2 linked regions of the Astyanax mexicanus genome follow. The protein of the gene in region 2 interacts with the protein of the main gene of each other region in a pairwise test. Links are inferred from orthologs where the notes say so. Each region holds a gene or a part of one and is shown on either strand. Other genes may lie near its edges.

Region 1 (5,750 bases), on a different chromosome or scaffold from region 2:
CTGCTTCTCAACAATAGTGTTCACTGTCCACTCCCAGGCTTCTGATTACTCGGGGTAAATCACTGCTGTGGGGGGGGGGGGGTAGTTATACAGTAGTATTTACAGCTCTAATGACATTAGTGTTGTAATAAAAGAGGTTTTAAGGAGCCATTCTTCACCAGTGAAAGTGCAAATGATGCCATTAAGCCCTGCCAACCCATTCAAACAGCAGCATTTCCCAGGAAAAACTACTTACAAGAAAGAAAGCAGGAATATAAACCACATAAACTCCATATAAATACAAATGAATCACTTTACCTCACTACAAAACACCTAAAACAACTTTCACCTACAAATAAATCTATATTTCCACCTATTATTACCAATAATAAACAATAGTGGAATATTAGTGCAACCCAGCTAAAAACCAATGCATTTTCAGCCTTTATCTCTATACAACGGGTATACTCCCCATATAAACTATCATTAAATCTGTAAATTGGTTTCCATAATTAGAGCAACTCACCAAAACAATCTGTATTTTCACATTTTAGCTCTTTAATCGCATAAAAATACCCCAATATCACTTAAACAATTTCCACAGCCAATAATTAGTCCAACCCACCAATAAAGTCTGTGTATTTTCATATTTTAGCACTTAAATCTCATATAAATAATTAAATGTCACTTAAATGATGCAACTCAACATTTTAGATCTTTACACAAAGTCAGCTGGTATAAAAACATGTAATGCATAATTTCACCACTTAAAAATACAAACATTTCACTTTTATATCAGGAAACTGGTTTCCACAGCCAATAACATCAGTACAACTCACCATACAATCAGTGTATTATAGGTTTTAGCTCTTTAGAAGAAAAACGCAGGTATATAAACCATATACAATTTCATTAAACCACAAACATACCAAGTACTCACTTATAAAGCTAAATATAAGACAATAATATTAGTACAACTCATCATAAAATCAATGTATTATAGGTTTTAGCTCTTTGCAAGCAAAAAAAAGTGATTTAGGTAAATCACATAAACTACCAATACACTAAATAAAAATGCAAATATTTCACTTATACAGCTTCAAATTTGTTTTCACAGCCCAAAATATCAGTACAACCCAACAATAAACAATGTATTTGCAAGATTTCTCTTTATAGAGTATAATTGATATATATATATATATACACAGTATAACGTATCATTAAACCACATAAAAACACCCAGTATTCACTTCTAAAGCTGCTAATTGGTTTCCACAGACAATAATATCAATACAACTCACCAATCAATCAATGTATTATAGGTTTTAGCTCTAAATACCAAAGAACAGCAACATTAAACCTTATTATCTCTGTTCAAAAACCAACAAGGCCAGATTGAGATGGTTGACCAGTTGACCTTTTGGTCAGTATATGATATTATTTTAGTGTATTAGTTTGAGGGTTTAGCTGGTCTATTGGTCTGTTACCAACCTTGACCCAAGTTGGTTCCCCAACATGAGCAGAATTAATTGTAACATATACTATACAGCTCAAAAGCTGGTTTACCAGCTATCAAAAACCAGCAACAACCGACAAAAAATGGTCTTAAACTTGAAAATATTAGCAGGGCATTGGTACAATTCACAAAAATCTATGTATTTTCAAGTTTTAGCTCTTTTCACAAAGACAGTCCATGTGTATAGCATATGAACCATCACTACACAGCACAAAACACATTATTTACTTATTCTGCTTCAAACTGGTTTCAATAGCCAATACTATTAGTACAACCCAAAAAAAAAAAAAAACAATATAGTATAGGTTTTAGCTCTAATTATCAACGAACAACCTAATTAAACCACCAAAAACCAATGTATTAGCAGGTTTAAGCTCTTTACACAAAAACTGTTGGTATAAAAACCCTACAAACATTGAATATCATGTTTCCAGACAAAATATTTGTACAACCACCATTTAATCAATGTATTTTCAGGTTAGCTCTAAATACCAATGAATACCCTAATTAAACCATATTTTCTTCTGTTAAAAAAACACTTAGAGCATCTAAAAGCACAAACAACCAGCACAACCAACAATTAGTAGAATTCACCAAAAATATATATATTTGCAAGTTTTAGCTCTGTACACAAAAACAGCTGATAAGGAAACCATATAAACTATCATTACACTGCATAAAAATACACATATGTCATGTATAACTTACTGCTTTAAATTGGTTTGTACAGCCAATACTATTAGTACAATCCAACAAAAATCATTGTATTAAGTTTTAGCCTATAAATACCAATGAATAACCTAATAAAACCACCAAGTTTAAGCTTTTTCCACAAAGACTGTTGGTATAAAACCATAAAATCAATGTATTTTTGTTTTTTAGCTCTAAATACCAATGCATAACCTAATTGAATCATATAATATCTGATGAAAAAAACACATTGATCAACAAACACCAGCTTAGACCATCTGAAGCTACAAACAACCAGCAAAAAACACCAAAAACTGGTCTTAAACTAGAAAATTTTACCAGGACATGTTTTCCAACATTGGTACAATTCACCAAAAATATATGTTTTAGCTCTTTATACAAAGACAGTTGGTATATAAACCACACAAACAGTGGAAACCATGTGTGTAGTGACAATAAAATTAGTACAACCAGCAATAAAATCAATGTATTATAGATTTTATCTTGAAAAACCAATAAATTGACTAATTAAACCACAATATCTCTGTTGAAAAAACACTTAGACCATGTAAAAGCACAAACAACCGACAAACAAACAACAAAAACTGGGCTTAATCTTGTATATTTCAGCAGGACATGTTGTCCAACATTAGTAAAATCACCAAAAAAACACTGTATTTTGATTTTTAGCTCTAAACACCATAGCCAAGTCCAATAACACCACATGTACCCCCTCTACCTGGCCAGTAGTACAGGTGGTTCACCAGGTATCTCTCCGTAGAAAAGTCACTTACTTTGTACTTCATCCTGGCTACGTCACCGTCTGTCCTCCTGGCGCGAGACGGGTGAAAATATCCCTCAGAAACGTTTAAATAAATAAAACAACGCAAAAAGCTCGGACCCGAAATCCACGACGTTTAAACGACGTCTTTTTAAACGGCCATCGCGAGCGTAACGCCGTCAGTACGCTCAGAACGCGCCGTAACGCACCGACACGATACAATGTTTCCAACTCGGCCTCGCGCGCGCCCGCCTCACTGCCTTCTGAGCAGCACGCGCACGCTACGCCACGAACTGCTAGCCTCATTTGCATATCTCAGCGCCTATTGGTCGAGACAGGGAAAAGCCCAGTCCCCGGCGTGACATCACTCAGCCAATGAGAAAGCTCAGATTTGAATAACCAACTGGGGAAATTATGACATAAGGGGTTTTGAGTCACGAGCTAAATTTACCCCACTGCCTTTTACTCATTTACAGTAAACTCTGTAATCTATAATCTATCTATTTATCACAATATAACACTTCAGTTTCTGAATCAGTTTCTCTGATTTTGCTATTTATAGGTTTATGTTTGAGTAAAATGAACATTGTTGTTTTATTCTATAAACTACAGACAACATTTCTCCCAAATTCCAAATAAACATATTCTCATTTAGAGCATTTATTTACAGAAAATGAGAAATGACTGAAATAACAAAAAAGATGCAGAGCTTTCAGACCTCAAATAATGCAAAGAAAACAAGTTCATATTCATAAAGTTTTAAGAGTTCAGAAATAATCAATATTTGGTGGAATAATCCTGGTTTTAATTACAGTTTTTTTTCATGCATCTTGGCATCATGTTCTCCTCCACCAGTCTTACACACTGCTTTTGGATAACTTTATGCTGCTTTACTCCTGGTGCAAAAATTCACAAATGGTTTGTGACCTTCCATCTTCCTCTTGATTATATTTCAGAGGTTTTTAATTTGGTAAAATCAAAGAAACTCCTCATGTTTAAGTGCTCTTTTCTAGCGTTATATACAGTAGAAGTCAAAAGTTTGAGCACACCTTCAATTCACTGTTTTTTGTTTCATTATTTTAAAATGTTCTGCATTCTAGATTAATACTAAACTCATCCAAACTATGAAAAAAGTAGCTCCTCTTGTTTAGATTATCAGTTTTACACATCGAGAGTTAATTACTTGAATTTCTTGCCTCTTAATAAAGTGTTTGAGAGCATCAGTTAAAGTAAAGTAGTGAAGAGGTAGAGTTACAGGTATACAGTGAATAGTGAATATTTGAGTAATGTTCTATAATAATCCAGATTATGAGAAGCAACAACTACTCAACTAAGTAAAGAAAAAATACTTTGAGAAAAAATGAAGGTCAGTCAATCTAGAAAGAAGATTTTCAAGAACTTTGAAAGTATCCTCAAGTGCAGTCACCGCAAAGAGCATCAAAAACATTATAATGATGAAACTGGCACTCATCAGGACCAACCCCTTGAAAGAAAGAGCAAGAGTTTCTTCTGTTGTATGAGAAATTAAGTGGATAAATAACAGATATAAGTGCTTTTCTTAAGTGAGTTCCCTTCACTGCATTGTGTGAGTGGCAAAGCTCTTACTTTCACTATTAAACAATCCTGAGTTGTAGTGCTGTTTCTCTGCCATTTGCATGATTTTCCCAAATGTTCGAAATTGTTTTCCCATTCTGAAAGATGATGTTCTTCCACTGTTTAGTAATAGTGTGTTGGACATTTCTTAACCTGATCGATTGATTTTAGTAGTTTCAGCTACAATCTCTTTAGATGTTTTCTCTGATTTATTGATTTATGTCGCTTAGTTAAATCCAGGTGGTGACCTTTTTTTTGGCCGGGCAGGTTATATGATTTCTGTGTAGTCAGAAATCCTATAAATATGATAAGGCCATCAAAAACAATGGAATGATGAAACTGGCTCTCATCAGGACCGCTCCTGGAAAGGACGAGCAACAGTTTCTTCTGTTCTATAAAAACTAGCTAACTGGATGAATAAGACACATTTTTAAAGATGCTAAAACAGCTTTAGTTTGATAGAGAAAGTTAAGATTGGACTCTGGAGCAATTGAAGGAGATCATTAGCCTCACTGATAACCCTGTAGGAATGTAACAGTATTAGACGTTATCCTGACATAAATTTTTTGCCATCTGACATCCAACATTCAACCTAAAATTATCATCTATTGACAATGGTGAACAGCACAGAAAAGTGGTTCTCTTAAGGCAACGCAGCTGTTTTGTCACTTTAATTCCTTCAGTTCTCTTCACTACATTGTGTGTGAGTGGTAAAGCTCTTACTTTCACTATTAAACAACGTATCTGTAAGTTCTGGTGCTGTTGTACAATTTCACCAAACATTTAAGTGATCCCCGATCTCAATCATTCAGGATTTTTTTTTTTCCATTCTGAAATTGGATGTTTAATAATGAAACCTGATCTATTTTAGTATTTCAGCTACAATCTCTTCAGATGTTTTCTCTGCATTATCGATGCATGGCGATAGTTTGATGCTTCTAAAACAGATGAACAGAATCTTTTTCAGAGTCTTTCCACCTGGCTGTTTAACTATTTGAGAAGCTACTCCCTGCATCAGTTAGGGTCTTGTAAATATGTTAAATATTAAACCTTTTTAAACACCAAAAGACACAGTATTGTAATAATAACCGCACTACATGTCTTTAGTTGAATGGTATAGAAATATATGCGGTTTCCTGTGGCTTCAGCCGCCGGAAGATGATTAAGCAAACAGATCAGCAGTGCTGGAGG
Region 2 (5,750 bases):
AAACAAAATCAAAAATTGAATGAAAAAATAAAAAAGGCACAAACATTTATAAACTGTCACTGTCACTGAGTTCACACTACATGATTTTAGACCTGATTTTAAGACTTTCGCCAACCTGATTTGGAAAACACCAACAGAGGTCTCGTATTGGAGGCATTAGTCGCTATGTGTGAAAGGCTAAAACAGGCAGTCTGAGTGATTTCCAGGTGATTGTCGATCCCTTGCAAGCTCCCAATACATTTCTGGCAGGTTTAATATCTGGACCTACTGGCAACTACCACAGCCAATGAGAATGCATGAACGCATGACATGAAGAGAAAGCTGAAGAAGGAGCTATACACCTCAGTCTTTATCCATATACTTTTAAATATTATTTTCCTTATACTTATATCGCTTGTTTCTTTCCAACTCTCCATTCTGGAAGAAAACAAACATGTCTTGTGCATTGTGTAGCACCAGTTCTTGAATGTTTTTTCCTGACCAAACGTGTTTTTGGAGATCCAAAATACATTTAGCGGTTCTTCAATTGAGGAACCTTCCAGAAAGTTTCAAAGAACAAAAAAAAATAATAATAATTCTTGAAGGTTATTTAAAACACACTCAAAAAACTCACACACATTTTAACAGTGTGGGTTCCTCCTGGTTAAAGACCCCGTGTTGCTGATCAGTCATGTAGTAAAATCTTAGTGTAAAAATTCCCCATTGTGTAGTGTTTAAAGATTAAACATGAAAACCATCTGATGACTCTAAAAGTCATGTAGTGTGAACCTGGCATTAAATGTCCTGACAGTTTTTATTAGAATTGATTAGTAGTGCTAATTCTTCTGGTTTATTTGTTTCCTTTGCTGCGAGATGATGTGCTGGGTTCTGACCTGGTGTGTTTGAGCGTTGAGGTGTAGGCACATTCTCGTGCGACCTGTCGAGCCAGCGAGAACAGCTCCACCCGTCTTAACAGCAGAGCATTGTCCCGGATACAGAACTGGGCAGCTGCTTCATTGATGATCATCTAAGCAGGAAGACACAAGCAGAAGCATTAAGATGCCAGAACTGATCCTTACCACGTTTAAATCATCTGGGTTTTATAACACCCACATTTGTCAACATACAAACCAATTTATATAAAAACTACAAAGATCTTACAGTGATGTGGTGGTTGTTTTTAATACTTTATTTTATGTTGTGGCCATAATGTATAAGTTCATGGCATTAATTATTATTTTGTGGGCGCATGAAACTTAATGTTCTCATGGTCTTCATAGATTATAATCAGTGTATTATTTTTTGGATTTAACATATTATCTTATGGCCTAAATATTGTATCATGTGGCCTTATCTCATTGTCTTAATAAATTACCGGTATGTCATGTCCTCTATGTATATTATCATATGGCCTTAATATATAATTAACTATCTTTAACACTGTCTTCTGGCCTCAATATATTATCTTGGACCACCATATCACCATGTGGTCTTCAAAATAAACTACAAACTTTTACTTAGATATAAAACCCCTACAGATATAATGATGCACTTTTGACACACCAGCCTTTGCAGACTATGGAATCAATATTCTGATTTTAATAATTACAACAACAAAACAACAAAAATTAGTAATTTACAAAAAATATACTTTAATATCTATTTCTCCTGGGTTCCAAATGCAAAAAAAAAGTTCTACCCTTTATACCACATGTGTCAAACACAAGGCCCGCGGGCCAAATGTGGCCCGCCACGTCTTTTTATGTGGCCCGCGAGAGCTTGTAAAATCTTAGTGTCTATAATAAATAGGTCAGAAGCGTTCTTTGACCAAAAAATACATTTCCCACAATGCTTGTCGATTGTATTACCCGCAAAGTTACGGCTTACTGCCACTACACGGCAGTGTAGTCATTGATGTGGAAACCCTGCCGGAGGGAAGGTGTAACTTCGCGGGTGGAATTGAGACATGTTTATCCCATAATATCCAGAAAAAGAAAAGTTGATGCAGACGGACGGCTGTGCTTCAAGGCGAAAGACCGGTATGCATTTTGTGTTACTGACCAAAATAAACGCTTTTTAGAAGAGATATAAATTATGTGTAAATATTTATAAGACAATAGCTGATAAAATCTGTTTTAATGAGGTTAATAAACTTCACTGTGACATCGCTAGTCGCAGTTTCACCTCAGCAAAGGACGAGGAGGTGAATCACTTATCTAACCAGCCTTTACTGATTTCTGCCCCCAATAACCCTTTCAATAACCTCCAATAGCCTTTAATAGTCTCCAGTAGCCTTCAACAGTCTAACCTTGCAGCCGTGGTGTGTTCTAAACTCCGTAGTTATAAACATCCTGAGGTTAGCAGCGCGCTAACTGACCTGTTTATAATGTAATCCGAGCAGTGACTCCGGGATGGCTGCTCTAAACTGCTGCTGTTAGCTGCTTGGGCTGAAAGATGAACTGTAGAGAGCTGTATTATCCGGTTAGTGGGGTTATTTTATTTCATACACAGAAGAACTTAAAATTTTAAAAACGCTCCAGACTGAGTCCTGTAGCCCGTGGCTGGGCTGTAGCTCTGACTCAGTAAAGACTGTGGGCTTGTGCTGCTGCAGCTCCCACTAGTGGTTGGATGAGGAAATGCTAAATCTGTCACAGCTCACAATTTTTGATTTTATATTTATTAAGCCTCTTTTCAGTATCAAACGTTTTGATCAAAGTTAATATAACTTGTATTTTATGTCATTTCTATTCACTTGTATAGTTTGGTTCTTGATTGATGGAGTTTTTGGATTTCATAACAGGATTTATGTTAATAGAGCAACAAGCAAACATTTTTTCCATGCAACTGTAATATTTGATTGAATAAATAATATATTGAGAGTTATTTAACATTAAGGAGTAATTACATTCATTTACATATATTACATTTGGTTACATTTTCTTATATTTATAAGTTACATCTGGCCCTCGGAGGACAGCCAATATGCCAATGTGGCCCTCGGCCAAAATGAGTTTGACACCCCTGCTTTATACCTTTCCGCTGCCACATCACCAGCCTAATCTCTCTGGCAGCAGCACTGTGACAGCTCCTCTGAGACTGGTGGAGCATATGGCAGGTTGGCGTTGGAGCTAAAGCGCAGCAGCCAGGAAGCTTACAGTAACTTAATCACAGTTCCCCAATCTCCCCAGGTGTACGTACCTCGTGATGAGTCAGCTGCTTGCCCTCTCGTCTCTTGGAGTCGAAGCGTCCGTAGATGAGGCTGTACTTGCGGATCTCCTCCTCTTTGCTCTTGTCTTGAGGCTCCAAGTTGAAGATGTGTCCCACTGTCTTGGCCATCTTCTTGTTGAGCCTCAGTAAAGTCTTTACCTCACCCGGGTCAGCCTGGGGCATGGTCCTGAGCAGGCGATCCACGCTCTCACCCACGGCCCGTGCCGTCTCTGGGTCCAGCTGACCGCCAGGCCATGGGGAGGCTGCTGCAGTGGACGAGGAGGAGGATGAGGACGAAGTGGGTGGTGTCGAGAGGCCGATGGGCCTGTTGTGAACCGTAAGAGGCAATGGAGGACTGGGCTGCTCCTCATCGGCTCCCACGCTTCCATCTGGGTCTGGGCTGAGCCAGTGCGGCTCCATCGGGCTCAACTTGTCCCTATATAGATGATCGGGTGGTAAAGGTGATGCCTGAGAGCAGGGGCTTCTAGGGCTTCCATTGTCTCGTAATGGCGTAAGGCAGGACCCTTGATCTTCTCTATCACAAGGCGACCCTGGTTGACCATTGCTCAACTTTCTTGACCCAACGACAGCAGTTCCTCCAGCGCTGCTGCTGTCTATCTTAAAGAGTGGGATTCCTCCAGCAGCGACGTTTGTGGCCAAGGGCTGGTTAAAGATCGTAGGGTTGGCCGCCCAGTCACGCAGGGCCTTTTGGAGGCGACGAACATGCAGGGGCTTGGTGGCCATGCCTACCAGGGCCATGATCTCCAGGAACTCCTCTTCACCTGCCTCACAGAGCTGCTGCACGTCGTCACCACCCTGCTGGATGAAGGTGTCATAGTACATCAGCAGGTTGGCCCGCTGCAAGACCCGGTACAGCTGCAGCTCGCCTAGTGTCCTCGGCAGCGACATCCTGGGTGGCTATATGGCTGGATGAGAAGTGACCATAAGAATAACATTATAATGAACAAATGTTCTGTTTAAACCCACCAATGAAACTACATGTGTCTTCTGACTTTTATATGGAATGTTACTGATTGTAAAATAGCAGCAAAACCTCACTGGATCCCAAGCTCTAATACACCAGCCAACAGATACCGGTGCTGACCAGAATCACAATGGGAGTGATGAGAGCAATGTGAGAGAGCACCACCTGATGTACCCAACCAGAGAGAAAAAGCATGACCAACTGTGCTCTTTTGAACTCTTGCTGCTGATGGTGAAGCTTAATGACCCAAGATTCAGCTGGTGACATTTATATTGAACTGCCCACAACTCTACGTGTGTGTGTGTGTGTGTGTGTGTGTGTGTTTGTGTGTGTGGGCTCAGGAGGTAAATTCCTTGGAACTGGCAATCATGAGACCTTGACAGTATTGTAATAACAGTGTGGGCGCATGTGGGTTAAACATTTATGAGGAATATACATGTTCCCTTTTAGGTAAAAAAAAACTGCTAAACCTATACAAATATTTGTATTATTACAAAACCATAAAGATTATATCTAAAACAAAATTAACAACAATGCCAGTCAAATAAATAAACCACTATATTAAGGTTAAAGCAGTCAAATTAACCTTTCAACTAGCGAGGGGTGATGAGATCTAGCTGTATTTTTGACAATTGCCACTGTTGTTTAGTTTTATTGTAAAGGAAAAATCCACACATGTTACTGTAAAATATAAACCAAGATTACTTCTTTTTTTATTATCATCTTCATTTATTAAATTCTCCTTGTTATTATGTTTCCATAAATGTGTGAAATAATACACAAACACTAGTTGCCGCTGGTTAAAATGAGGATGTAAGGTTTGGAGTAAGTTACATGAGCGAGTTTAATTAGCTAAACAGTATATAATATACTACACTGGCCGAGATAGGGCTGCACAATACTGTAAAATATCTGACACTGCTTTACTTAAATGTGTTTTATGAAACATACTGCAATATAAAAAAAATGTTTGACATTATATTAGCTAATAACGTACTGTGAGTACTAGGGGTGTGCCATATAGTATCATTCGCAATAATATCGCCAACATTTTGGAATTTCTTGAACAATATTATACAATAAAAATATTGTGCCATATCACCCACCCCTAATTATCACATACTTGTTTTGCTGTTGTCAGCAAAAGAAAAAAAATCACACTATTCTCATTTTCCATTATATATCTACTAGAGACAGATTATATCTGTCCAGTATTTTTCATTTTACTTTAATCCTGGATATATGGAGATATATAAAGTGCATTATTAGCAACATGACATTCTGGATTATTGATTTCTGTTACAAATCTGATAAAATTATTGTATTTTTTAATATCTCAGTTAGGGGTGTGCCATATCATATCATATAACATAATAAAATTTAATTTTAATTTTGTTGCAGTAGTGTATTCTTGAAATAAGCGTTTGAATTCAGTGTCTTGTCATTTTGTCAAGAATATCATTATCGAAAATACCATACAACATTGTGATATTATTTTAGGGCTTTATCGCCCACCCCTAGTGTCTACCCAATAAAGGAGTAAATAAATTATATTGCCCTGTCATTGAGGCAAAAGTTT

What was found.
Region 1: the proteins of nab2 (region 2) and nedd9 interact in binary tests that used the Homo sapiens proteins (3 or more experiments, as listed by UniProt). The two-hybrid records come from large-scale screens. The link is inferred for Astyanax mexicanus from reciprocal best matches to the Homo sapiens genes NAB2 and NEDD9.

What each region holds. Positions count from the first base shown.
Region 1 is NC_064410.1:63,490,748-63,496,497, forward strand, and holds the start of nedd9 (enhancer of filamentation 1), read right to left. Parts: upstream 3,226-5,750; 5' UTR 2,992-3,225; coding exon 2,980-2,991; intron 1-2,979. UniProt on the Homo sapiens protein: Scaffolding protein which plays a central coordinating role for tyrosine-kinase-based signaling related to cell adhesion. As a focal adhesion protein, plays a role in embryonic fibroblast migration.
Region 2 is NC_064431.1:14,543,982-14,549,731, reverse strand, and holds the start of nab2 (NGFI-A-binding protein 2), read right to left. Parts: upstream 4,146-5,750; 5' UTR 4,096-4,145; coding exon 3,178-4,095; intron 1,007-3,177; coding exon 873-1,006; intron 1-872. UniProt on the Homo sapiens protein: Acts as a transcriptional repressor for zinc finger transcription factors EGR1 and EGR2. Isoform 2 lacks repression ability.